Oryctolagus cuniculus: one gene and its partners. The protein of the gene in region 1 purifies or fractionates together with the protein of each later gene. This does not show direct contact. Links are inferred from orthologs where the notes say so. Each region holds a gene or a part of one and is shown in the gene's direction. Other genes may lie near its edges. The genes, in order: MAGED2, NAP1L1, NAP1L4, GNAS and C1QBP.

Region 1 (4,942 bases):
TCCCGCATGTAGTTTAAGCTCCACCTGCAGTAGTGGTACAGGATTGTGATTGACGAGTGTAGGAGCCTGAGGTGGGGGCATTGTTGCTGCCAGGTGTGCTGTTTTTCCAGAAACTTCCAGGAAAGGAGGCCTGTCACTTCCTACTTCCTACTGAGTAACTGGCCTGGCCCTGGTAGAATGACTGTAAAAGGAGGGTTCCTTGACGTGAGTGGATCACGATGCTCGAAGGCCGTTAGTGTCAGCAGGGCTCTGCCTAGAAATCTCTGAGGGCTAAGGGAGAGAGAAAAGGAGCCACAATTGACTGCGTGTCTGTGCTGTACCAGGCTGACAGGCATTCATCCATCTTCTTGGTAACCTGGGGAGGAGAGGGTGTGATTTTCTCATTTCACTGTATTGGAGTCTGTGGTCCATGAATCTTAAGTACCGTGCCCAGGGTCACATAGAGCTTGAAGCCTGGACAGGACAGAATTCTGCCATATCCAGGGAAGCTGTGAGAGGCTCACCTGATGTGACTTGCAGATGGCTCCTGCACATAAACTTTTCTCTGTCCATTATTCCCTTAGGACCAAGGACTCACCCAAGCTGGGCCTTCTCATGGTGCTGCTTAGCATCATCTTCATGAATGGAAATCGATCCAGTGAGGGTGAGTGGCGGGGCACGCAGCTGAACGGGTGGCTGGGGTCTGAATTCCGTGTGTTCATTTTCGGCCCTGTCTCCTCTTGCCTCCCCCTGCAGCTGTCATCTGGGAGGTGCTGCGCAAGTTGGGGCTGCGCCCTGGGTATGATTGGGCTCTCTCAGCGCTTGCTGTCCGTGTTGTCCTTTGGCAAGAGAGGACGGTCCCAGGATTGCATCTGCCTGGTGGTCTGGTGGCGCGGGTGGGGGGTGATGGGCTGGGTAGAGGGTCCTGGGTTCTGACCCGGGTGGTTGGGTGAGTGGCCGTGAACTATTTGCTCCCTCTCACTCTCTCTTCAGCTTCGATGGAGCTTCCCTCTGTGCTGAAAATCTTCTTCATATTGGAAACACCTCTGACCACATCTGGGAAGTGCCACAGCCCTAACTGTCTTTATTTATTTATTTTCATTTTTCTGTTCTCAGGATACATCACTCACTCTTTGGGGATGTGAAAAAGCTCATTACTGATGAGTTTGTGAAGCAGAAGTAAGTGTCTTTCTGGTGTTGGTGTGGTCCATGCATTTTATCTGTTTCAGAACTGAGTAATACAACCATGGTGTGTGTCAGTGTGTGCGTGCATGCGTGCATGCAGCTGGTGGGTTATTTCTGGAGCAGTGAACATAGAACAGGAGTAACACGCATTTCCTAATCTATTACTCTGTGTACTCTCACATTTGTCTCTCCAAGGGAGAGATTATCATCACTAGCATTGTCCATGGCAGAAACCGATTCTCAGAGGGGCAATGCCATTTGCTTAGGGTTACACAGGTAGCAGATGAAAGAATGGTGTTTAGGACTTGGCTCCACAGGCTTGCTTCATTTCACTGTGCTATCCAGGGCATCTTAGACATTAATTCTCATAAAGAAATGCCATAAAATGGTGTCTTTACGTAGCCAGGTACCAGGCTGGGGGGTGTAACTTGTATATCTCATTTCATTTTCTTACTGCCCTGCAAAACAGGTGTGGTTATCCCATCCCTGTTTTGTACTCGCAGAACGTGGGACTCCAAGAGGGGAATTCTAAGTATGGCCCACAGCTGCTAAGGGGCTTGTTTGGGCCTGGAGAGCAGTCCTCCTGACTTTCTGGTGAGAACCTGCCATGTCATTGGCCTTTGAAGAATGTGCAAGCACACACATAGGCACTCAGAGCCACCTGAGCACACAGGAACACAGGCACACTCACACACAGGGTCAGGAATTTAGGACTATGCCTGCAGCATTCTGATCATGGCTATCTCTTCCTTTACCATCTTTTTCTGTGGTGGACCTCTCCAGGGTTTAGCCAGATTGCAGATAAGAACCCTTAGGGTGGGGTGTGCTCAGAGCAAGGGGCCTGAAGAATGGCTCCTCTGTTTACAACACACCCAACAGGAATCTTGGGTCATTGTGATGAGGTCCATAAAACTTGTGGCCTCTTTACAAACTAATGCCCTACACATGTGCCCTGTGCACCTTCATGTGGCTATCAGGCAAGACCAGTGGCACGAGGCTCAATGTTGGAAGAAAAGTTGCAGTGTTCAGTGGAGCACATCACCACATAAAGTCTCTCTAGTCTTTGCCTTGGTGGGCCCTGGGTTGTCTTAGAAATAAAGGTTTTCAACTTCTCTTTTCTAGGTACCTGGACTATGCCAGAGTCCCCAATAGCAATCCCCCTGAGTATGAGTTCTTTTGGGGCCTGCGCTCCTACTATGAGACCAGCAAGATGAAAGTCCTCAAGTTTGCCTGCAAGGTAATTGGAGAGCTACCTAAACTTGGCATATTGAGAGCATGGTGTGCCCTTGGATGGGGCCAGCTATGTGCAGAGCAGCCTGTAGTTCATATCTCAGCGATCAGAAGCGTCTGTTAATTGCCAAACACCATGCCGGGCACTTTTATCTGAATTATTTAACCTGTACAAGTAGTATGTCATTGCCGTGTTGCAGATGAGAAAACGGAGACTCAGAGAGGTTAGTAGGTGACATGTTCAAGGTCATAAAGCTAATAAGTATCAGAGCAAGGATGGACTATTAGGTACATAGTTGGTAGTAGTACTTAACTGTATTCATAATATTAAATACAGCCTATAGCTTGGTGCCTTATTTAGGTGCTCTCTAAATATGACCCTTCTTGTGGCTGTTGTTTCAGGTACAAAAGAAGGATCCCAAGGAATGGGCAGCTCAGTACCGAGAGGCAATGGAAGCAGATTTGAAGGCTGCAGCTGAGGCTGCAGCTGAAGCCAAGGCGAGGGCTGAGATTAGAGCTCGAATGGGCATTGGGCTTGGCTCTGAGAATGCTGCTGGGCCCTGCAACTGGGATGAAGCTGATATTGGACCCTGGGCCAAAGCCCGGATCCAGGCAGGAGCTGAAGCTAAAGCCAAAGCCCAAGAGAGTGGTGGTGCCAGTGCCAGTGCCAGTACCAGTACCAGTACCAGTGCCAGTACCAGTACTGGTGCCAGTGCCAGTGCCAGCAGTGGCTTCAGTGCCAGTGCCAGCCTGACTGCCACTCTCACGTTTGGGCTCTTTGCTGGCCTTGGCGGTGCTGGTGCCAGCACCAGTGGCAGCTCTGGTGCCTGTGGTTTCTCCTACAAGTGAGATTTCAGGTATCTGCCTTGGTTGTGGTGGGGCTAGCTGGGGCCCACAGGGATGGGGTGTGGAGCTGGGCTGCTGCTGGAAGGCCTGGGTTGGAGAAGGCAGTGGAGGGTGTGCAAAGACACTGTTGGCATTGGCATTTTATTCCTTCGTGTTTGGTGGATATTACCTGACTTTTTTGATTTTCTTTTACTTGTGTTTTCAGATATTGTTAATCCCAGCAGTCTTTCTCCTCAAGCCAGGGTGCATCCTCAGAAACTTACTCAAGATAGCACTCTTGGCAGCCACTATCAATCAATTGAAGTTGACACTCTGCATTAAATCTATTTGCCATTTCTGAGTTTCTTGCTTTTTTTTTTTGGTGGGCTGTCAGTTTGGCATCACATTTAAAAAGGAATGCGGGATATTTCCACCTCAATCTATGTTTATTTTGATAATACTGTTGGATCCCCAGGAGTGAGATTAGCCTGTTTCTCTGGGCTAGGTTGAGCCCCATCTCTAGCCAATAGGGCAGGTGGGATTTCAGTGGGGGTGCAGACAGGTGGATTGGAGGCACCAAGGACACAATTCGAAAAAGAGGTTTGGGATGGGCAAGTCTGGAGCAGGAAGCAGAGGGAGAAGAGACTGGAAATGACATGTTGACTCTCCTTTTGAGAAATCTGGGTGAGACAGGAGAGAAAGAGGCAGGTAGACAAAAGGAGATAAAAGAACAAGGGAACATTTTCTTGGGGAAGGAGAAATGAGCAGAGCAAGAGCCAGTGGAGAGGAAGACGTTGAATGGGTTCTGGGATGGGGATGGGACCTGGGAAAGTCCAGACAGGACTCTGACAGGAGACTGTGGAAGGATGTTGAACAATGGGGAAGCACCCATAGGACATGGTGCCCATGATTTGAGGGGGAATATAGCAAGATGCTCTGTAATCTTGGTGCAGGGACTGAGAAGCAGAGCAGTGTCGGCTTATTCCCAGTTTTGAGTTTTGGTGTTTGGATCAGAATAAAGACACAGGCCCAATGGCAGCAATGTCAGTGTATGAATCTCGATCTTCATTACTGACTCCGTAGTTTCTGCACATAGACACATGGGATGGTGGAAGAGATGGACCATAGGTGGGCTTATGAGGAGACATGAAGAGAGTGATAGACTGTGCAGGTATGTATGGATAGGAGTCTCAGTGAAGACCATGAATGGGGATAGAAGGTTAGGTGCCTGAGCACCTGTTGCATGTCTGGCAGTATTCCAAGGATTTAGGAAGGGTTGTTGACAGGACAAACAGGAGGGCTAGTTAGACAGACAGTTGGATGATTCTACTGAAGAAGACAGCAGAGCTGTAGGTGATGGTGAAGTCCAAAGACAGGGGATGGAAGATGAGAGATGATAGTTCTGCAGATGTGAGGTCAATGGCATAGGTCAGGGTACTGGTTAGGTTATCCTTGGGGACAGTAAAATCACCTAAATGGTGGTGGAGGTGGGGATATTATGAACAAGGTACCAAAGTCCTTTTGTGGTTGAAGGTGTTCTCCCAGTTACACTACCCACTAAGAGAGGACTGACCCCTGCTCTCAGAGATCCAGTGCCCTGATTGGAGGTGGGTACTGCCCTGGCCCTTTCCCCATGAAGCTTTCACCATCTCTGATCCTTGTATTTCCAGGCTTGCAGTCACTGGGGCAGTTTTATGGACAAGGAGGCCTTTGTAATGCTCAC
Region 2 (5,537 bases), on another chromosome or scaffold:
TTGGCACATGTCTTCTAGAGGATAGTAATAAGTACCATTCCCCTTCTGGGGGGGCCTTTGTTGTCCACATGTCCTCCAGTTCAGTAAGAGTTTGTGTATTGGGGGAGGGTATAGTGTAAGGAAGGACGTTTGTGGATATAGTGACTCATCAGACATCACTGTTTACAACTTCTTCTGCTGGAATGACATGGTATAACTGCCGTTAGTTTCATCTAAATTTAGAAATTTTAATAGGTAGTCATGGCTGTGATTTTTAGTGGTGCTTCTAAACAGCATTTTCCATGTTTAATATATAGAAAATATATAGCATCTAAAAATAGATTCTTCTAATCAAAAAATGTATTAAGTATAGGCAAAAATCATTCAGAATTTATCTTAGATAATTTTTTAAAGAGTAGTGGCCAAGAATTATATTGTTTTTGTTATGCCCTGTAGATCTGGGCCAAGAATGTTAAGTTCCAGGTGACCTGAGACTTTTCATTTTGGAGCTACATGGAGGTTAATTGTGAAAAGACTCTGAACTTAAAGCTTTCATCTTGTAGCATTTTCTTACCAGATACAGGACTGTATCTTCAGTGTCCAATATTGATGTTTCTAAATGCATGTTGACTGTCACAGTTGAATATCATCCATTAATTGAATTAGTATCAGAAGTAAGTTGACCTCCAAGAACCAAATTGGGAAGAGTAATAGCAGTTTTGTGTATTATCTAAATTGATGAAGAGAAGATAGCATTTGTTTTGCATAAATCTGGCTCTTATTTGGATTGAATATGATTTTTAGAAGCCATTAGCAAGCAAGTTTTGTTTGGCTTCAGTCATAACCTTTATCTCAACCATTAGCTTTATTCATATATACACAGGTACACTACACAATCATCAAACATAAACATTCATTCAGATCACTCATTCCGTCTTGCTCCCAGGCTTAAAATTGTCACTGTCTTTGCAATTTTCTGGTATGTGTTGCTTACCATCTAAGGAATGTCAAGAGTCATAGATAGGCATCTGGATGAAGCTTTGAGCTTCCCAAAATGCAAGGTGGGTGAGACACAAGGCACTAGGAAGAGAAAACATACTGTTAATAGTTGTGGCAATGGCCTTGAGAAATGTCATGCATTAGAGATCATTAGAATCTCAACATTTCCTAAACATTGGGTTTTCTAAGAGTGTATTTTCTTAAGCTTGTTCTGCTCATCTCTACTCACCAGTTTTTGGGTGAGTCAGGAAAATTTTCATGATTGGATTGACCTATTTTATAAAGCATAATATATTTTCATAAAATCCTTCTTTCAATACCCCTTTTTTTTTAAAGCGCGTCAACTGACTGTTCAGATGATGCAAAATCCTCAGATTCTTGCAGCCCTTCAAGAAAGACTTGATGGTTTGGTAGAAACACCAACAGGATACATTGAAAGGTACAAGTTCTTTTCTGTAGCCCTTTCCTTATTTATCTTTCTGTGATCAACATTGCCAGTTGTATCTATTTTTAAGGCCACCTAGGATTTATGTATGTAATAGTGGAAACCTTAATGTCTGTTAGTACCCAGGATGATGAGGATTCTTGGAAGTTTGGAATTTTTGCTCAGTACTACCTGTTTAGAGTTGGATTTAAAATTTATTTTAAGTCCACAGGAAACAAACTGATCTTAACCATTTCTGAGATATATTTAGGTTTATTAGAAGAGCACAAAATTAGAAATGTAGATTTCTTACTCTTTTGTGACCTAAATTGTTAACAATAGCCTGTGTATCTTCCATGATTTTAAGGCTGTTCAGGCTGCTATCTTTGTGTGTCTCCAGTTAGTAGTTTCTGAATGTTGCCAACTTCTCTGTAGTGTGTGTCCACTATTCGTTATCTTCTTTTTCTTTAAAAGATTCCTGTCCCCATCAATGAAAATTTTATTGTGATGGACATCCTAGCGCATGTCCTCTTAAGGAACTATGTAAGAATTTCTTTGAGATACGTATTCAGCTATGGGATTATTTAGTTAAATGGCATATGCAAGGCTTGAGGACTTCTGGCATGATTTCCAAAAGTTCTATATCTAGTACATGAAGGGTGCTTTATCTTTATGTCTGCAAAAAATTGGCATCATCCAACTTTGTAGTTTTTTAGGTACTTTTTTTTACTTTTAAGATTTTTACGTATTTGAAACTAAATGACAGAGAGAAAGGGAAGGAGGAAGAGAGGGAAAGATATCTGCTGGTTCACTTCCCAAATGCCTGCAACAGCCAGGTCCAGGCCAGGCTGAAGCCAGGAGCCAGGAACTCCATCTGTGTCTCCTATGTGGTTGGCAGGGGCCCAAGAAATTGTGCCATCATTTGCTGCCTTCCCAGACACAATGGAAGGGAGCTGTAATGGAAGTGGAGCAGCTGGGACTTGAACTGGCACTTCATTAGTGCTGGGGTTGGAAGTAGCGGCTTAACTTGCTGTGCCACAATGCTAGCTCCTACGCATTTATTTTTAAGCCACAAGAAGAAAGAAGTGGGGGCTGATTTTGTTTCATTTGTATTTTTCTTATTTCTAATGACTTCATAAAGCTGGTGAGCCTTTTAGGTTACTCATGCATCCTTTGTTTTGCTATTAGAGTTACTGTCTTTTGTTTTTGTTTTTGTTTTTGTTTTTTGCAGAAATCTTTTTTGTATTCTGTATGTTTCCTTGTCAGATTTAGATTTTGTAAGTAATGCATTGTGTCAGTTCTACCAATTTGTTTCCTCAGTTAAAGAGAAATTTTTAATTTTTGTAAAATGTTTTGCCCTATGGTTTGTGCTTTTGAAGTTAAGAACTCCTTTCTAGTTCCTTCTGCATTCGGTATTGACTAGTTTAGTTTTACCTTTCATATTTAGGCCTTTAGTCTCTAGAGGCTATCCTTGTATTTGGTGTTAAGTAAGCATCCATTCCCTTTCCCTGCGTCCTTCATTTTCAGTGAATTAACTAAATCTGTCCTTCCCTCATGCATTTGTGTACTGCCTTTTATTACAAATCCAGTTCTTATAAATACTTGTGTTTGTCTTTGAGCAGCGCTCTTCTGTTCCATTGTCTTTGGTTCTTTTATCATCATCACAATCCATTTGACTCCATAGTGTGTGTCTTTTTAACATTTGGCAAGGCAGGCTGCTTCCTTCCATGTCTCTCCACTATCCAACATAATCTTAAAGCTGATCTAACCCGATCTTTGTTCTGGATAGAGTTGACAGTTAAATTTGTCAGGGCTCTCAAAACAAACAAAAAACTTCAAAAATTTGGTAAAAATTACCTTGAGTTTATAGATTCATTAGAGAATTACATTTTAAAATATTGTTTCGTCTGTATACTTGTATTTATTTAGATCACATGTGTCTTAAATAGTTCCAGTTTTCTTTACAGTCTGGTTCATATCCATATGTTTTAGTTGTGTTGCTTTTGTGAATATGGTCTCTTTTTTTAATTGTATTACTCGATTGACTATTCCTGATGTACAGAGTGCTATTGATTTGTATAAAATTGACCTTGTAACCAGTAACTTGGTAAATTTGCTTACCAATTTGTTTTGTGCTTTTTTCCCTCTGCCTGGCAGATCTTAGCTGCAAATAATGGCAGTTTTAGCTCTAATTTTCCATGTTTCAAATTATTTTCTTTGTTTATAACAGCATTAGGATTAAAATGGGCATCTTTATCTTATTTCCACTTTTATTGGGAATGAGTATCTCCATTATATTCAGTGCCTGTTTTTTTTTTTTAATCCAAATTCAGTGCCTATTTTTTAAAAGTACAACTGTCTGTATCAATTCAGATGATCTTTTGAATCTGTTAAATACATATTTTGGAAATACACTGGCTTTGCATTCCTGGAATAAACTTAATCATGATGTGTTGTTACATTGTTAATTAGTTAATCTAATGTGTATTCGTGTGTGTGTGTGTGTGTGTGTGTGTGCGCGCACATGTGCATGGGGATAAAGAAACTTTCAAGCTATGGTAGTACCTTAATCAGCTTTGGAGTTAATTTCAACTGCTCAATGAAATGAATGGGACTGCTTTTACCTTTTTGGTCTGTTTTTCTCTAACAACTTGTATAAGGTAGAAATGAAGTTTTCCTATATGGTTAGGTAGAACTCTGCTAAAAATTTACTTGGGCTTCTGGAGTTTGAGGCTGACTATCTTTGTTTTAATTGATACAGTCAAGGTCTCTTGATTTTGGAGTTCTAGATTCTCAATAGGTATGCATTTTGTATAGGTTTTAAACCTATTAGTATTGTGATTTATGGTATTTTTAAGTATCTGATTTTTATTTTCCATTTCATATTCAATATTTGAATCTTAATTAGTTTTGCCAATTGTCTTGACCTTGCTGGTGTTACTCAGGACAGTTTTGCTTTAGATTTTCCTTTTCCATACTGTTTTTGTTTATTGCTGCTTTCTTTTACTAATTTCAGGCTGTACTGTTATTATTTCTTAGGTTTCTTCTATACCTCTTTCCAGTTTCTTTAATGACATGCTTAATTCATGTAATTTTTTTTTCAATCTATCTTTATGGCTTTAATACCTTTCTTTAAAGTAAATGTTAAATATAAAGATATGTGCTAGAATCAATAGCTCATGACTTATAACTTGTCTGCCTGATCTAAGTTTTTGACAAAGATGGGTTAAAAATCTCCTGATTTATCTTTCTCTAGTTTTATCAGTTGCAGATTGATACATTTTGAAGCCATATTATTAGGTTGATGGTGTTTGTGATATATGTATCTTGTTTTCTTCTGTTTTACTGATAGTGTCCTCCTTTGTATTTTATGATTTTCTTTTTTGTTGCTGTAAGTTCTGTAAATACCTACTCCTGCTTTCTTTTTTCTTCCTCCAGTAAGGATGTTTGCTTCTTATTAGTAAGTTCAACTTTGTTTCTTGGAGGTTATATTATTTTGGACTTAACACTTGCCATCTTTCCCTGTATCTTCGTTTGTTGTGCTTTCTTTTTTCTTTATTTTCCACTTTTCATTGAGTAAGATTGTCTTCTTGTTTTGAAGCTAAAATTTTTCAGTATCTGTATTGTTTAAAAATAGTACTTATTATATTTTCCTTCAAGGCAACAGTGGAATTTACCAAGATATTTGACCACCCATTCCTTATATGGAATCTCCTGTGTGTTTTTCTTTTTCTTTTTTTTTTTGTAAATCTGTGGCAGACCTCTTGAAGCCTGATATGTGTGATACAGTTTTTATCTTGCTTTCATATCTGAATAACAGTTTGGTCATGAAGTTGTAAATTTAGAGTTCTCAAAATATCTTTTAACATTATAATTCATTTTCTTTTTGTACACAGTTTCTTTTGAAGCCTGGTGTTAGTCTGATTCCTTTTCCTTTTAGGTTAATTGCTGTTCTCATTAAATGGTTTTAGATTTTCAATGATCGCACTAAGCATGTTTGGTAGAGAAGGATTTTCATATTGCTTTAACTATGAAAAATGTAGCATTCTCATATCTGAAGGTCCACCACCCCACTCACGACTCAGCTTACCATCAGTATCTAAGAGTTTTTTTGTCTTTTATGCTGCCTTCTGGA
Region 3 (6,327 bases), on another chromosome or scaffold:
GCGGGAGCCGCCAGCCGCGGAACCTGGAAGCTGGCAGAGGCAGGAGCCTCGGGGGTGCTGGGCAGCCCCGATTCTGACTCTTGCTCCAAGCAGCCACGGGCCGAGGACACGGACCGCATTCTCAAACCGTTTCTCTGGCACAGAAAAGCACCTTTGGGGCGACTCGGGGCCCTGTTCCGGTCCGTCCCCCCGCCGTCACTGTGCAGGGCTGTGCACACAGGGCAGCAGCTGCCTCCTCCCCTTCTGCCGGGGCGGGGCGTGCTGCCAGTGCCCTCCCCGTGCTGCCACGGTGCCGCAGCCGCCTGCTCTGGGCGCCTCCCCTGACCTATATTTGGGGGTGTGAGGCTCCCTGAGCTATTGGAGGCTCCCGGATGCCCCGGGAGGCTTGTGCCCCGCCACCCCTCCTCCCTTGCCGTGCCCCCTGCCAGGGCTGGGGGGGAAGTGAGGCCCAGACATTAGCAGAGCTGGGGGGGGGCAGTGGCAGCACTGGGGAGGGGAGGCAGAGGGCACTTCGCTCCCATCCAATCCTGAGATGGGGTTTCCAGGGGCAGCAGGTGTGGCCAGGTGGACTCCACCATGCCGGCCCGGCCAGGGTGGGCGACAGACAGACCCAGCAGTCTGGCCGCCCGGCCTGGCGCCAGCTCCGGGCCCCGTGGGCCGAGTCCGCGGCAGTGTCCCCACCGTACAGGGCCGCTCCGGCCCTGCCTGCAGCCCTGTGATGCAGGAGTCACGAGTGCCCATTCCACAGATGGGGAGCAGAGGCCCAGGCATCGGCCCAAGGTCGCCCAGAGCTGGCCTTGGGGCTGTCGCCCAGCAGTCCCTGTCCTGTAAGGCCACCACCCTCCGCACAGGCCGTGGACGAGCCAGGACGGTGTGTGCCGTGGGCCGCGGCACAGTCCCCCAGATTCTGTGCAGGTCCCAACCTTTGGTGCCTGCGGGACAGGGAGAGGCGAGCCAGGGATGGGCACGAGTGCCAGGACCCAGTGGCCGGCGTCCTTTACTATTTCTCCTTTTTAAAAGGATTTATTTATCTGACAGAGAGAGAGAGCCCGCTGGTTCACTCCCCAGTGGCTGCAACAGCCGGAGCTGGGCTGATCAGGAGCCCCTGCCTGGTCTCCCACGTGGCTGCAGGGGACAAGGACTTGAGCCATCTTCCGAGACTTTCCCAGGCCACAGCAGAGAGCTGGATCAGAAGCAGAGCAGTCGGGACCAGGACCAGAACCAGAACCTGTATGGGACGCCCGTGTCACCGGTGGCAGCTTGACCTGCTCAGCACCGGACTCGTATGGGTTCTGGTTCGAGTCCCGGCTGCTCCACTTCAACCCAGCTCCCTGCTAACGGCCTGGGAAAGCAGTGGACAATGGCCCAAGTGCTTGGACTCCTGCACCCACGTGGGGGACCTGGACCGAGTTCCAGGCTCCTGGCTTTGGCCTGGCCCAGCCCTGCAGCCATCTGGGGAGTGAAGCAGCAGATGGAAGACCTCTCTCTCTCTCTCCTTTTGTTCTGTAGCTCTGCCTTTCAAATAAATCTCTAAGAAAGGAGAGAGCAAGGCAGACCAGGACCCTCCCCGGCCCTCCAGAACCAAGGACGCGTTTCTGCTACTGAACCCGCCGCAGGGCCACAGGAGACCCACCGGCCGTGCCCACAGCGGGAGGGCGGACGTCTCCCTGCGGGTGACCGGGGCGGACAGAGAGGCGTCCCAGGCCGTGCCCTCGGCCCGCGACCCAGGGGACCCCGGGAGAGCGAGAGGGCGAGAGCCGCGGAGGAAGTGCGCCCGGGCGCAGCCGTCTTGGCCGCCGAGGACCCTGCCCCAGCTGACCCTGCGCGGCTCCTCCGGGGTTCACGTCCCCGCCTGCAGACAGCAATGCGCGTCCGCACCCCGCCGCCCCCAGCCCTCGGCGCGCGAGCCCCGTTACGGAGCGGAACCGACCGCCCGCGCCTGCACGGCTCCAGGCGGCCTCGGGGTCCGATCCGGGGCCCCGCGTCCCTGCGTGCCCCCGGGCGCGGCCGGGTGTGCCCCAGGCCCGAGCCAGGCTGCTGAGACCCCGAGACGCAGGCGGTGCCCGGGGCAGGGGGCGCGACCCCCACGCCCACCCCGGACGGAGAGGGGCGCGCCCGGAGCAAGGGGGGCTGCAGGGCACCCCCGCCCCGCTCCGCCGCGCCCGCCCTCTACCAGCGGAGCCCCCGGGAACGCGCGCTGCGCGCCGGCGATGCCATCACACGCTCTCATTTGCATACGCCTCGCGGGTCTGCGCGCGGCGCGCCCTCCGATTGGTCGCCGCCCGCCGCGCTCAGGCGCAGTTGACTTGCGTGGCGCCTGTCCAATCGCAGCCCGCTTTGCTGGCGGAGGGAAGGGCCTGGAGGCTCGGCCAATGGGAAGCAGCGTTGTTGGAGGCCACGGCGGCGCAGCCCCCGGAGCGAGCGAAGCGAGCGCCGCAGCCGCTACTGCCGCAGGAGGCGTGAGGTGCGGGTCTGCGAGGCTCGGCCGGGTAACGGCGCGCTGGGCCTGCGGTGGGCGGGCCGGAGCGGGGCCGGGCGGGGGCCGCGGCGGGCCGCGGCGGGCCGCGGGGGCCTGGGCGCCATCTCGGGGCAGGGCCGCGGCGGCGGTGCGGGGCGGGCGCGGGTCTCGCCGGGGCCGCGGGGCCCGCGCTGGGCGCCCGCCCCTCGGCCGCGCGCGCCGGGGCTGAAGGTCAGGGGTGCTCTGTCCCGCGCCGTGGCCCGACGCGCGAGCGGGAGCCTGGGCCCGCGCCTTCGAGGCGGCCCGCCCGGGGGTGCAGCACGGAGGGGCGCCCTGGCCGCTGCGGGGCGCTGAGAGAACGCACAGCAGAGCGCGGACCCCCGCGAGCTCCCCGCCGAGGGTCGCGGGCTCGGCCTGTGGGCCGCCGGGCCCCGCGCGGGAGCCGCGCCGCTGAGCGCCCTGCACGTCCGCAGGCGGCGAAGTCGGCGGCTCGGGTCGGGGCCGCTCGCGGGCCGGGCGGCCGCCAGACGCTCCAGAGGGGCGGGCCGCCCGGTCACGTGCCGAGGACTCGCAGTGCGGGCCCGGGGCGCTGCTGGGGTGGCGGAGGTCCGGGGGGGGCCCCGTGCGGTCCGAGGGCGGCAACTCGTTGGGGTTCTCGGCGCCAGGGCGCGCCGTGGCCCGCGGGGCCTGGAGGGGCCTGGAGGGGCCCTGCGGGGTCTGCGGGGTCTGCGGGCGCGGCGGCCCCACCTGGCGGTGGGAGCGGGAGCTCCCGGAAGTGCGTTTCCTGCGCGTGTCGGTGGCTTCTCACTTGCTCGGGGCGAGGGGAGGCTTGCTGGTCTGACCCGGTTTCCCTTGCGGTTCGCCAGGCAGCGGGTCCGTGAGGAGGCCGCACAGGTGCCCCGGGAGCCGCCGGGCGGTGGTCTCCCTGCCCGCTCCCGACCCGCGCAGCGAACTTGGGAATTGTGCTTGGTGAGCGTCGAGGCCTGCGGGACTCCCCCAGACCCCTCACCGGCGCCTGTGAGCCGGAGAGATCTGCGGTGGGCTGTCGGGGCCGGGCGCGGGGTCACGGGCTCTGTTGAGGGGACCCCAGTGTGGCCGGAGAAGCGGCAGGAAGGAGTTGGGTTCGCCTCCCTCCTCCTGTCGGTGCGAATCCTGCAGGCTCTGGTGCACCTACTCTGTTGGAGAGGAAGACTGAGCCCAGCAGGGGGGTGGGCGCCGTGTGCCCCCGCTCCTGCCCCTGTGGGGGGGAGGGCGCCCCGACTCTGCCCCTGCCCCTGTGCTGGGGGAAGCCGCCCCACTCTCCCTCTGCTCCTCTGCCAGGGGGAGCCGCCCTGACTCTGCCCCTGTGCCGGGGGGAGCGGCCAACTCTGCCCCTGCCCCTGTGCTGGGGGGAGCCGCCCCACTCTCCCTCTGCCCCTGCCCCTGTGCCGGGGGAGCCGCCGACTCTGCCCCTGCCCCTGTGCTGGGGGGAGCCGCCCTGACTCTGCCCCTGCCCCTGTGCCGGGGGGGGGGGGGGGGGAGCCGCTGACTCTGCCCCTGCCCCTGTGCCGGGGGGGAGCTGCCGACTCTGCCCCTGCCCCTGTGCTGGGGGAGCCGCCCCACTCTCCCTCTGCTCCTCTGCCAGGGGGAGCCGCCTGACTCTGCCCCTGCCCCTGTGCTGGGGGGAGCCGCCCCGACTCTGCCCCTGCCCCTGCCCCTGTGCTGGGGGGAGCCGCCCCGACTCTGCCCCTGCCCCTGCCCCTGTGCTGGGGGGAGCCGCCCCGACTCTGCCCCTGCCCCTGCGCTGGGGGAAGCGGCCTAGGAGTCCGAGGAGTCGCAGGAAGCCGCCCTCGTCCGGTCTGGGCGTGCTGGGCGCCTGGCTTGCTGCGTTGTCTGTGTGGAAGGCCTTAGCGAAGGGTAGAGGGAGAAGCATTCTGGGATTGGCTGTCGGGAGGCGTGGTCCGCAGTGGGGAGGGAGGGGTGTTCTGTGGCGCTCACTGGTGGTCCGCCCCGGCCGGCCGCTGGTCTTGAGCGTGGCTGGCCCGGGAGCTGGAGAGGCGTGTCCTGCCTCCGTGCTGTGGGAGAGCCCGCTGTGTGCGGCTTCTCAGCCCGTGCTCCTGAGAGGTGAACTCTGCGCTTCATTGTTGTCCAAAAGTGCGTAGCATCGTCTTGGCCTGGTGGTTTTGTGCAGGGTCGGTTGGGGCTGCACCGACCGCGTTCTGGCAGGCAGTGTCTGTCGCTTCGCTTGTGGGTGAGCAGTGGGAGCTGGGGCCCGTGGTTCCGGCGTGGCATGATGTGGCGTGGGAGGAGGTGCTGCTAACAGGGCAGTGTGGCCTCTGAGTACTGGGTTAGGAGCACTTGGGCTTTCTGACGCTCGCTTCGATCCGTCGTATTCCAGTGAGTTCCCCAGAAGACAGTGTGGGGTGGGGTGGGGACAGGCCCCTGTGCCCCACGTGGAGGTAGAGGGTTTGGGTTAACTTCTAGGCCTTGGCTTGGCCTGCAGCAGGACTCTGGAGGGCCCTGCCCGTGCGCAGGTGGACAGGGTGGCAGAGGTCGCCGCTGTGGAGCTGAGGAGCCATCTCCGGCCTGAGCCTTCCCAGGCCGCCGGGCGCCCGGGGTCTCCACCCCCGCCGTGCGCAGAGACGGGCAGACTCGCAGCAGCAGTGGGAAGTGGACACTCCGTGCTGCCCTGCAGAGCGAGTGTCTCAGTGGGACAGCAGGCGAGCACTGTCCATCGTGGTTTGTGCTTTTTTTTGACAAGAGATTTCATGGTTTTCAAGACCGAGCAGGGGCCCCGTTCCTGTCACTATTTGCCGGTCTTACCTGTAAGTCTTTTTTTCCAGTTTTTTTTTTTTTTTTTTTTAAAGATTTATTTGAAAGAGTGACAGAGAGGTTTTCCTTCCACTGGTTCACTCAGATGGCTGCAAGGCCAGACCTGGGTCGATCCAAAGCCAGGAGCTTCATCCGGGTCTCCAAGCACTTGGGCCATCCTCCACTGCTAGTTTCCCAGGTGCATCGGCAGGGAGCTGGATGGGAAGTGGAAGCCGGGCCAAGAACTGGTGCCCGTATGGGATGCCGGCGCCACAGGCATTACCCATCAGGCCACAGCGCTGGCCCGGTCTGTGAGCATGTTGTGTGATTTTTAAGATATTTTATTTTTAAATGGCATGTACATATTACATGTGGTCCTAAAGCCTCTTCTATATATATTTCTTAATCTGAAGGAGACAGATCTTCCATCCCTGGTTGACTCCTATGGCCTGGATCAGGCTGAGTCAGGAGCTCAGAGCAGGTGGCAGGACCCCCCCCCCCCATGCCCGAGCTGTCGGGAGCTGCCCCTCGCCTGTGCGTTAGCACAAAGCTGGATCCTCCGCAGAGGAACTGGACCTGAACCAGGCACTGCGGTGGGCATCCCACAGCACCCCAGCAGCTCGTCCACGTGCCGGGCCCTGTAGGCTTTTATTTTTGAGGGATTGATTTATTTATTTGAAAGGGAGAATTGCAGAGAGAGGTCTTCCATCCTCTGGCTCCCCAGGTGGCCACAACGGCTGGAGCTGCGCCAGTGCGAAGCCAGGAGCCTCTTCCCGGTCTCCCTCATGGGCGCAGGGGCTCAAGCACTTGGACTTTCCCTCTGCCTTCCCAGGCACATTAGCAGGGAGTGGGACTCCATGTGGAATGCTGGCATTGCAAGGGCCCAGCCCACGGCACCTGCCTAGCTCCTGGCTTTTTAATGAGCATGGCTGACTGCTGATACTGGGAGTGGCGTGGATGCGGACTCTGCTGACGGGTGACAGCAGAGACGCCGGCTATCAGAGGGCTTGGGACATCGGCCAGGCGCTGTGGGGGAGACCGCTGGACTGCCCTACAGAGTGTCTCGATTCCGCCTCAGC
Region 4 (4,029 bases), on another chromosome or scaffold:
CCGAGACCACCCCCAAACCAGCCATAAACCCCGCAGCCGAAATCTTCCCCAGAGCGGAAGGATGTGTGGCGCTCTGAGACCTGCGCCCCGTGGGGCTCGGCTCCCCAGCGTGTCCCGCGACCCCCATTCCGTGCCGCCGCGGCCGCTACACTGCGGGGAGGCGGGGGGCTTGGCTTGGTTCTCCATGGTGCAGTCAGGAGACCCCCATATTGCGTCGCATCATTGTCCACAAAAACAGAGGGACCCCTTACTGCGCCGCCCACGGCCACTGCGGAGACCCCAGGAGCCACGGGGGTGGGCGATGCTAAAGTGCCTCGCCACGGCGGACCGCGGCAAGTGTACCCAAGGCGTTTTACAAAACAAACTGTGCGCTCGCTCTCGACAGCCCCCCTCGCTCCTCATCCTCCTCCCTGCCCTTCCGGTGGGCTCACGACCACCTGTCGCATTCCCGCGCGCGCACGCCACTGTCCCCGGGCATCTAGAGCCTTACGCTTGGCTCGAGATCTGGGGCTAGGGGCTTCGGCGCAGGGGTGCAGGGGTATCCTGGGGTGAAGGAAGAAAAAGAAAGCCCTCTGCAGTCCCCCGCCCCCCGAGGAGAGTCGGCGCGGGCGGGGAGGGAGCGATTCTGCTCCTGTTCTCCAGCATCCCGAGGCCCACGTCTTGTGTCACGTGTCTCGCTCGCAACGCAGGAGAGCTTTGTGTGGCCAAGGGGAGAAGCGAGGAGAAAGGCTCCAAATCAGTCAGGGAGAGGCGTGGAAGGAGCCCAAACGTCCCTGCGAGGCCTGCGCTCGCCAGCCCCTTACCCAAAGCCGGGCCGGCGGTGCAGGGAACCAGCTTGGCACCGGGACCTGCGTCCTCTGGTGGCAGAGAGAGCGCGCGACTGGCGATTTTCGGACCGAATCGGCACGCTCCTCAAATCCAAGCAGTCTGTGTTGGCCTGGAGCAGAGAGAGAGAGAGAGAGAGAGAGAGAGAGAGGAGGGGACGAAGGCCGAGCAGGCCGGGTGGGGGCCTGAGGGAATCACCAGTGGCCAGGAAGGAGCCAAGACTTCACCAGCCAGAACTGCACTGCCTTGGCCATGGTCTGGGGTTCTAGGCCCTGAGTGCGCTCGGGAAGTGAGGCCGCAGAACTTCCCAGCTGGTACTTTTTTCTTTCTTCCTTTCAAATAATTTTTTTCACCCTAGTTCGGTTGGGTGCTCCGTCTCACGGAGCCCCCACATCATTGTAAGAGGCCGCCACCGTGTTATGGGCCTGCGCTACTGCCTCGACGGCAATAATATGTCAGGACAACGCCATCTCCCCCCTGAAGTCGGGGAGCAGCCTCCACAGCCAGCCTTGGAGGCCCCAGGGCCAGCTGCCCCCGGTGCTGGGCCTGGCCCAGCCGAAGAGATGGAGACCCAGCCGCCTGCCAGCGAGCCCGTCCCCGCACAGGCTGGCGCCGAGGCCTGTGAACCCCCTGAGGTCTCCGGGGGCACCCTGGAGGGCCTCGCCGTGGCAGCTGACCAGGAATTCGGAGGCGATGGAGGCTACAGCCCACCTCCCGAGGAAGCCATGCCTTTTGAGGTCCAGCAGCCCAGCGTGGGAGGCTTCTGGCCCACCCCAGGGCCCATCGCAGGCCTCGAGGCCTCTGTGGATCCCGGAGTCTCGGGCAGTGCCGGGCCTGGCCTGGGAGGCTACAGCCCCCCACCAGAAGAAGCCATGCCCTTTGAGTTCGAGGAGCCTGCTGGCCAGGGAGGCTGCAGCCAGCCAGCATCGGGGGTCCCCGACCTCGCTCCCGGTGGCACAGACCTGGGGGTCCCTGGAGCTCCTCCCGGGAAGTCCGGGGCGCTCAGGCCTGCCAGCGCTGGCCTTGGAGGAGGCTATAGCCCTCCCCCCGAGGAGGCTATGCCATTTCAGCTTGATGGAGAGGCCTTTGGGGACGACAGCCCACCCCCCGGGCTCCCCCGAGCGCTCCCACAAGTTGCCAACGGCGACGGTGGCAGCAGCGCGGCAATCGCGGTCCCGAGTGCGGTCTGCCTCGCTCCCGCCACCGACGCGCCACCCCTCTGGGTCCCAGAGGCTGTCAGAGCTGCTGCTAACTTCGCGGGCGCCAGCCCCCCGATGGAGATCGCCGGACCCCCGCTCGAGATGCGCAGCGCCCCCGTCGGGGTCGACGACGCTCCCGTCAGCATGGACAGCCCCCCAATCGCGAGTGATGGCCCGCCCATCAAGGTCTCCGGAGCCCCAGATAAGAGGGAGCGCGGCGAGAGACCCCCAGTTGAGGGTGAAGCAGCCGAGATGGAAGGAGGCTCGGTCAGCGCCTCTGCGGAGAAAGGAGAAGTCCCCTCTCCGGGGGACGGAGCCTCGGGCGCCCCAGCTGGGGCCGCTCCCGCCGCCGGAGCCGCTCCCGCCGCCCCGGCGGAGCCCGAAGCCGGGGGAGCCCCGGCCGCTCCTGGCACTGCGGCCGCCGGGGCAGCCCCGGCCGATGCCGAAGCCGACGCCGACACCCGCGCAGCCCCCGGCGCCGCAGCCGCTCCTGATGCCGGGGCAGCCCCTGCCGCCGGTGGAGCCCCTGGTGCCCCGGCCGAGCACGCCGCAGCCGCCGGGGCCCCCCAGGCAGCCCCCGCCGCGCCTGCCTCCGGGGCCAGACGCAGGCTCCATCTGCTCAGACCCCCCAGCCCCGAGATCCAGGCTGCTGACCCGCCTACTCCGCGGCCTGCTCGCGCGGCTGCCTGGCGGGGCAGAGCTGAGCGCGGCCGAAGCCGCCGCCGCTACGACGACGAGGGGTCGACCAGCGGCGACGCCGACTCCTCCAGCGGGGACGAGTCCGAAGAGCGGGCCGCCGGCTGCTTCCACTGGTTCCAGCGCCGCACACGCCGCCGCCGCAAGCCCCGGCGCAACTTGCTCCGCAACTTCCTCGTGCAGGCTTTCGGGGGCTGCTTCGGTGGTCGATCTGAGAGCCCCCAGCCCAAGCCCGCGAGCCCCAGCAAGGCCAAGAAGGTTTCTCTGGCAGAGAAGCGCCGACAGATGCGCAGGGAGGCCATGGAGAAGCGCGCCCAGAAGCGCGCCGAGAAGAAACGCAGCAGGCTCATCGACAAGCAGCTGCAGGCCGAGAAGATGGGCTACATGTGCACTCACCGCCTGCTGCTTCTAGGTAACGCGGCGGCGGACTCTGCCCAGGGGCAGCAGCCCCGCCGGGGACCGGGGAGGGGGCGCGGGGCGCGGGGCTCGGCCGCGGGAGGAGGGGGCACGGCCAGGAAGTTCCACGGAGGGACCCTAACTTTGCCCCGGGCGCGGGAGGGGAGCTGGGGCGGGTTCGGGTGGCCGAGGTGTGTGCCCTCCAGGGAGAAAAGTGGTGCCGAGCGACACTGAGGGTCGTTTCCGGCTGGACAGGCCAGCGCCAGCGACCGTAAGCTGGACAGGCGGGGGCTTCAGGTGAGCCGGGAACTGCCGGAAAGGGGCGCCCACTCTCCGCCGGCTTAGGTTTGTTGGGGCCGCGGTGGGCTAGGGCCATCGGGGAAGGCGCGCCCCCGCCTCGCCTGGCACGGCTTGTTCTCGGCCAGCTTGTCGTTGGTGTGTGTCGGTGTGCGTATTCTCTGTGTCCGCCTGTGCATGACACGCTCAAGTGTTCCCCATCCCCGGCAACCCCCCCATCCCCGGATTACCCGCCGACCGTGTACTTGTACTTGGGGACGGGCTGTCGTGATGCGCGCCATGGCGCGGGCTGAAACTTTGCGCGTCTGCACACTCGTATGACACCTGTGCGCCGGCACTCCGCGGCGGAACCCGGCTGGGCCACCGGCCCGGGGGGGCGCCTCGGTAACCTTGTTCCTCTGTGTCTTTCTCTCTTTCTCCCTGTGCGCTAAGTGTTTCCTCACTTCTCATTCGTTCGCCAAACCCTCCCGCCTTTACAGTTGAAAAACCAGACACGCAGCACAGGTATCTGGGGCATTGGGGCTGCACACTGGATTTCAGCATTGCGCACAAGCACACTCACCTGGAGGGGGATGGGAAGTGGCTGGGGTGGGGGATGGAGGACATCTAGCCTGCT
Region 5 (6,208 bases), on another chromosome or scaffold:
GAACTCCATCTCAGTCTCCCACGTGGGAGGCAGAGGCCTGAGCACTTGGGCCACCTCCCGCTGCTTTCCCACCGGCATTAGCAGGGAGCTGGTTTGGAAATGGAGCGGCCAGGACTGGAACCAGTGTTCATATGGGGTGCCTGTGTTGCAGGCAGTGGTCCTTACATTGCAGTTTAGTTATTCGCTGTGATCTTTTTTTCCTTCTTCGTAGGAAGTCGGGGGCAGTGTGGCTTTGCTCCTTCCCGACTGCCCAGCCCTTGTTGTCTGCGTTTGTTGGGGGGACATTGAGGGTCTCCACAGTCTCTTCCTGTCCAGATATTTTGAGAAGGGAAAGACACTAAAGGTTCTTCTCAGCTATGTCATCATCAAAAACAAATGCTCTTTCCCCAGGGAGAGTCTGGCCTGGCAAGATCTGTCCTCTTATTGTGTGGCATTTTGTCACTGTTTACCAAATGCGTCATCTGGCTGATAAGCAGGGAGCAGACCTGCCTTAGAGGCTCTGCAAAGACAGCGCAGTCTCCACCCTGGGGCAGGGGGGGAGCGAGGGGCACCCCCACTGCAGCGTCTCAGCTGTCTCCAGATGTGTGTGTCCAGTCCCGCCCTGTCAGCATGTGTGCCCGAGCCACCAGCCCTCACTCAACACTCAGGTTTTCAGCCAGGTTTCCGGGGTGTCAGCACATGTGGTTTAGTTGTGGTAACAGTGGTCACATGTAGATGAAATGGGATGTGACTGATCCTATATACCTCACCTCACAGTGTGGCTTTTCCACACGTTGCTGACTTTCTGGAGTTTTCCAGAAAGTTCTTTCTGTTTTGTTTTTAGTGTATTTTTCTCATTCATTTAATAGAAAGCAAGGATGTTTAGCCGAAGCTGACGAAAGAAATATAATGTATTTTAAATAAAACATTGGTCATTCTGTTAAAAAGAAATGGGGGGTGGGGGATAATTTATTAGGCTCCTCAGCAAATCCTCTAGCGAGAGGTATTCTCCAGGTCAGGTAAAACTCACCTTGCGTAATTTATATCCGGCTTAAGCACCCGAGAAGTTTCCAGAGACTCATGTTCTTCTCCGGGGGGCAGAGGATGCAAACAGCTTCTAAGTAGCTTTCATGTTTCAGTACAGAAATATGTTTACCCCTGTAACACTGAGGTAGTTTTTAATATAGTATTTAGTTTTCTATTGGGCTTTTAAGGAAGTTATTTTTTTATCATAGCTGCTCAGGGATGAATCCAGGTTGGAAAGCCCACCCTAGCTCCACGTCACTAACACAGAAATAAGACCTGTCTGTCGAGCTGCAGGGGATGCTACACCTTAAACTTAGCGCTTTCACAGTGACACTGCACCATAGCCCCGAGCTACCCTTTCCCACCTCCTCTGAGCGGCTGTGTGCAAACAGTGTCCTCAAGCAGGCGGCGTGGGGCGTGGCTCAGGCGGCTGTCCTGCTTACATCATCACAGAGGGTGAAACGTGGGGTAGGGCACCTTTCCTTACAAGGGCGAGGACCCCAATCCCTGTCCTTGATAAAAAGCTTTCATGCTGCAAACCTGCTGACTGGGAAGGAGATGCCAGATGAGGACAAGGTTTTGCTCGGGGAGGGAAATTGCACTGTGATACCTAAATCCTCCGTCCACTACGGATGTGGCCATGCATCTCTGACACCAGTGCTTTAGCATAAGAGAAAGCACGGGCCCCGTGGGCGAGAATGTTATGTTGTATTTCATAAGAATATTGTAACCTGCAGAGAAATCCCGAGGGAGGGAAAAAATCAGGTTGGCTCAGGCGTACGTTGTATTTTGAGTCTTAAATAAAGCTATGAAAAGATCAACTCCTGTGTATATATATAATGCTCACATTCGCACCTGACTAGCAAGTGTCCATTGAGAACAAGTCTTGTACATGATGCATGTCCCTTCTTTCTTGTGTGTCCTTGCCCTTATTCACAGAAAGCTGTTTTGAAAATATTAAGTATTAGCCTTACGATTGCCACAAAGCTAGGGAGACATTTTCTTGGTACCTTCCACACCCTGGCGAGTGCAGAACCAGATGTTAGCCATGGCTTCTGGCTCCCGGCAAAATGACTTTGCCTGAGAACTTGGATGCAAGGCCGGAGGGAGCAGGTGAAGCCAGTCACGAGAGGTTAACCATGGGCACCGCGCCTCGCGCCTCTGGGTCTCACCTGGCTGCAGTGAGGGGAGTCAGCCAGGCAAGCGAGCAAAGCCAGGGCTTGATGCACACGAGAGAGCAGAGAAGGCCTGCGAGAGGTGTGCTGCCGTCGAGTGTGGAGGACGTGTGCAAGCCTGGCGCGCTCTGAGAATTAACCACAAAGCTCTGCGCACCAGACCCCAACACACTCCCGGGGCGGTCCAGGAATCCGGATTCGAGGCTGCACCGGCGGTCCCCGGCAGAGGGCGCCATCCGGCCCGCGGTGCCTTCGGTCTTTGGAGCGCCGGCGGCGGGAGACGCTTCCGGGCGAGGGCGGGCTTCCGGCGGCGGGAGGTCACTTGGGCGCTTTGGCCCGGGTCGTCCGTCGCCGCCGCACGTGTCTGACGCCGTCCGCGCGATGCTACCGCTGCTTCGCTGCGTGCCCCGCGCCCTGGGCCCCGCCGTCGCCGGCCTCCGCGCCGCGGCCCCGGCCCCGCCGCTCCGGCCGCTGCTGCTGCCCGCGCCCCGGCCTTGCGCCCGGCCGTTCGGGCTGCTCAGCGTGCGCGCGGGCTCGGTGCGGCGGCCCGGCCTCCTGCGGGCTCGCGAGCCCTGCTCCTGCGGCTGCGGCGCGCTGCACACGGAGGGTGAGGGGCTCGCGCGTGGCGTGGGGGACCTGATTCCCGACGGCGACTGACAGCACCGCTCCCCGGCTCCCCCGGCCCCGGGTGCGGTTTGGGGGGTGGGGTGCTGCGGCGCTCGTGACGGAATTGGCTTCTCCGGGCGAGCGGATGCAGCTGCCCGCTTCCAGGCCGGATAGCGTTGGGGAGGCGAGGCGGATGCCGGGCAGAGGGCGGCGGTCCCCGGGTCCCCGGGTCCCCGGGTCCCTGTCGGGTGCTTGGCGCTCCTTGACGTCTCCGCGATTCCTCCCCAGGAGATAAAGCCTTTGTGGATTTCCTTACCGACGAGATTAAGGAGGAGAAGAAAATCCAGAAGCATAAAGCCCTTCCCAAGATGTCTGGAGGCTGGGAGCTGGAGGTGAACGGCACAGAGGCTAAACTCGTGCGCAAAGTGGCCGGGGAGAAGTAAGTGCACGGCGCGCCCCGGGGTGCGCGGCGTGGGGCGGCCTCTGGCTCGGGACCCTAAGCTCGCTGGAGCCACATGTCAGCCACCCCGTGTGACTTCACAGCGGGACCCTTCCGCAGCCGCCCTGTCCCTTCTTCCCCCTCCGGCCCCTTGAAACCGCCAAGCTGCCTTCTCTGGATTTGCCTGTGTGGGACATTTTGTGTGAGTGGGAGTCATGCAATATGTGGCCATTTGTGTCTACCTCCCCCCCCCCCCCCAAGATTGATTTATTGGCTTGAAAGGTAGAGTTAGAGACGTCTTCCATCCACCCCAACAGCCAGAGCTGGGCCAAGCTGGAGCCAGGAGCCAGGCAGCAGGCACTTTTTCCATGTCCTCCCACGTGGGTGCAAGGGTCCAACACTTGGGCCAGCTTTTTTTTTTTTTTTTTTTAAGATTAATTTATTTGAGAGGCAGAGAGTAAGAGAATTACAGAGAGAAGGTTACAGAGAGGCGTCTGAGCAGGGAGCTGGATCCAAAGCAGAGCAGCCTATGGGTGCCAGCGTTGTAGGCAGCAGCTTAGCCAGCTGTGCCACAACACTGTCACCCCCGCACCCCCGTTGTTTTTGAGGTTCATTCATACTAGTAATAGCATGTACCAATAGTTAGCTTTTTTAATGACAACATAATATTTCATTATGTGGATATGCTAGATTTTATTTATGTAAGGAAATGGGAGACAGACCAGAGGAGACAAGATACGAAGTCAACGGCCAAAATCAATTAAGAAGAAAAATGGGAGCCAGCGCTGTGGCATAGCACGCTAAGCTGCCACCTGCGGTGCCTGCATCCCATATGGGTGCCGGTTCAAGTCTTGGCTGCTCCACTTCTGACCCAGCGCCCTGTTTCTGCTCCTGGGAAAGCAGCGGAAAATGGCTCAAGTGCTTGGGTCCCTGCACCCACATGGGAGGCCTGGAAGAAGTTCCTGGTTTCCATCTGGCCATTGTAGCCATTTGGGGAGTGAACCAGCAGATGGAAGATCTCTTTCTAACTCTGTCTTTCAAATACAATAAATAAATCATAAAGGAAAAAAAAAAAGACAAGTGAATTTGCAAAGATGGCCAACCACTGGCATGCGCACAGACAGAACACGTGGCCGAGAGAGCAGGAATTTATTTACGGGCTGGATTTAAATAGCATAGGCCTGATAAGGGCCATGAGGTGCAGTGGAGCTGAGCTAGCTTTTCTATGGAATGCAGAATGCAGAGGGTAGGGTGGGCAACAGTACAGGGCGTAGGACTGAGCTGGTCTCTTGAAGGAAGGTAAAGGGTCCCTCAGGCAAAGAGCCACAATGCCTGAGGCTCATGTCCTTGTTCTGTCAGTTATCCATTCATTTGTTGGCAGGCATTTGACAGGGTTCTATTTACTTTGTGATTCTGGTTTTTTATTTATTTATTTTTTTAATTTTATTTATCTGACAGATAGTTATAGACAGAGACAGAGAGAAAGGTTTTCCTTCCGTTGGTTCACCCCCCAAATGGCTGCTACGGCCGGCGCTGCGCCAGTCCGAAGGCAGGAGCCAGGTGCTTCTCCTGGTCTCCCATGGGGTGCAGGGCCCAAGCACTTGGGCCATCCTTCACTGCCTTCCCGGGCCACAGCAGAGAGCTGGCCTGGAAGAAGGGCAACTGGGACAGAATCTGGCGCCCCGACCGGGACTAGAACCCGGTGTGCCAGGCGCCGCAATGCAGAGGATTAGCCTATTGAGCCACAGCGCCGGCCTTTACTGTCGTTTTGAAAGACAGATAGCTCCCATGTGCTACTTCACTCCCTAAATATTGAAATGTCCAGGTATAGGCTACGCTGGAGCTGGGAGCTGAATCCAGGTTACCAGGTTATTGCCTTAAAGGTGGGCTTTAGATATTCTGGGTGCAGTTCCCCTTATCAGACACAGGGTGTGCAAGTGTTTTCTCCCATCCTTGGGTGTTTTTTTCCTTTCCCTATGTTATTGGTATTGACATACACTTTTTTTAGTTATTGTTTGACTACACCAAGTGAACTATTTTTTTAAAGATTTATTTATTTATTTGAAAGAGTTACGCAGTCACTCCCCAGTTGGCCACAACGACCAGAGCTGTGCCAATCCAAAACCAGGAGTCAGGAGCTTCTGCGTCTCCCACATGGGTGCAGGGGCCCAAGGACTTAAGCCATCTTCTATTGCTTTCCCAGGCCATAGCAGAGAGCCAGGTATGGAGTGGAGCAGCCGGGTCTCAAACTGGCGCCCATATGGGATGCCTGCACTGCAGGCCAGGGCGTTGACCCGCTGTGCCAAAGCACAGGCCCCAACATACACTTCTAATTTTGATGAAGCTCAATTTACTGGGTTTTGTTTTTTGTGTATGTGGGCTTTTTTTTTGTTTTTTTGTCATTTGTGCTTTTTTGACATCACATTTGACAAACTGTTGGGTAACCAAAGTTTCTAGATATTTATGCCCGGATTTACTTGTAAGAGGAGTTTAGCTCTTTAGGCCCGTGATCACTTTGAGTCAACTTTTGTGTACAGTGTGAAGTGTAGGGTTCTGATGCTTTTTCCCCTAGGGTGCAGGGGTTTCGCCCATACACAGTGTCAGTTGACGACTGAAGCTTCACTTGAACTTTTCTTCCGGTTTTCGTAGCCAGTTTGGGGCCGTTAGAAATGATACCCTGATGAACAGTGCTGTGTTTCTGTGTCGAGGAACTCAGCTTGGTCAGCGTGGTTGCAGATAGTTTCTGGGGCTGAGCCTCAGCCTGCCGCTGTTGCCTTGGGAAGGAGCAGCCCGTTAGCTGAGCAGTGGTGTGCAGGGTGCGGGGTCTGCGCTGCCCAGCCACACCTGGTCTACCCCACTGTCACAGGGATTGTGACTCAACCTTCGGAACATGGAATGTCACGAGGATTCTTGTACCTTACGGTTGTCATGTGTTGGTGTTCCAGCCCGTGGGATGAGTCCACAGTGAACGCACTGTCCTTTG

Evidence for each region.
Region 2: the proteins of MAGED2 (region 1) and NAP1L1 purify together in Homo sapiens (affinity purification with mass spectrometry; 4 studies listed by BioGRID and IntAct, counting the BioPlex papers as one, with this or other methods). This does not show direct contact. The link is inferred for Oryctolagus cuniculus from reciprocal best matches to the Homo sapiens genes MAGED2 and NAP1L1.
Region 3: the proteins of MAGED2 (region 1) and NAP1L4 purify together in Homo sapiens (affinity purification with mass spectrometry; 3 studies listed by BioGRID and IntAct, counting the BioPlex papers as one, with this or other methods). This does not show direct contact. The link is inferred for Oryctolagus cuniculus from reciprocal best matches to the Homo sapiens genes MAGED2 and NAP1L4.
Region 4: the proteins of MAGED2 (region 1) and GNAS purify together in Homo sapiens (affinity purification with mass spectrometry; 3 studies listed by BioGRID, counting the BioPlex papers as one, with this or other methods). This does not show direct contact. The link is inferred for Oryctolagus cuniculus from reciprocal best matches to the Homo sapiens genes MAGED2 and GNAS.
Region 5: the proteins of MAGED2 (region 1) and C1QBP purify together in Homo sapiens (affinity purification with mass spectrometry; 3 studies listed by BioGRID and IntAct, counting the BioPlex papers as one, with this or other methods). This does not show direct contact. The link is inferred for Oryctolagus cuniculus from reciprocal best matches to the Homo sapiens genes MAGED2 and C1QBP.

Annotation. Positions count from the first base shown.
Region 1 is NC_091453.1:38,860,197-38,865,138, forward strand, and holds the end of MAGED2 (melanoma-associated antigen D2), read left to right. Parts: intron 1-563; coding exon 564-643; intron 644-735; coding exon 736-778; intron 779-1,095; coding exon 1,096-1,158; intron 1,159-1,982; exon of another isoform or gene 1,983-2,111; intron 2,112-2,286; coding exon 2,287-2,401; intron 2,402-2,796; coding exon 2,797-3,243; 3' UTR 3,244-3,251; intron 3,252-3,445; downstream 3,446-4,942. UniProt on the Homo sapiens protein: Regulates the expression, localization to the plasma membrane and function of the sodium chloride cotransporters SLC12A1 and SLC12A3, two key components of salt reabsorption in the distal renal tubule.
Region 2 is NC_091442.1:78,567,518-78,573,054, reverse strand, and holds part of NAP1L1 (nucleosome assembly protein 1-like 1), read left to right. Parts: intron 1-1,314; coding exon 1,315-1,417; intron 1,418-5,537. UniProt on the Homo sapiens protein: Histone chaperone that plays a role in the nuclear import of H2A-H2B and nucleosome assembly.
Region 3 is NC_091432.1:762,592-768,918, forward strand, and holds the start of NAP1L4 (nucleosome assembly protein 1-like 4), read left to right. Parts: upstream 1-2,326; 5' UTR 2,327-2,464; exon of another isoform or gene 2,465-2,489; intron 2,490-3,404; exon of another isoform or gene 3,405-3,427; intron 3,428-6,327. UniProt on the Homo sapiens protein: Acts as a histone chaperone in nucleosome assembly.
Region 4 is NC_091442.1:3,426,355-3,430,383, reverse strand, and holds the start of GNAS (guanine nucleotide-binding protein G(s) subunit alpha isoforms XLas), read left to right. Parts: upstream 1-1,229; 5' UTR 1,230-1,244; coding exon 1,245-3,132; intron 3,133-4,029. UniProt on the Homo sapiens protein: Guanine nucleotide-binding proteins (G proteins) function as transducers in numerous signaling pathways controlled by G protein-coupled receptors (GPCRs).
Region 5 is NC_091448.1:50,894,987-50,901,194, forward strand, and holds the start of C1QBP (complement component 1 Q subcomponent-binding protein, mitochondrial), read left to right. Parts: upstream 1-2,473; 5' UTR 2,474-2,561; coding exon 2,562-2,787; intron 2,788-3,074; coding exon 3,075-3,225; intron 3,226-6,208.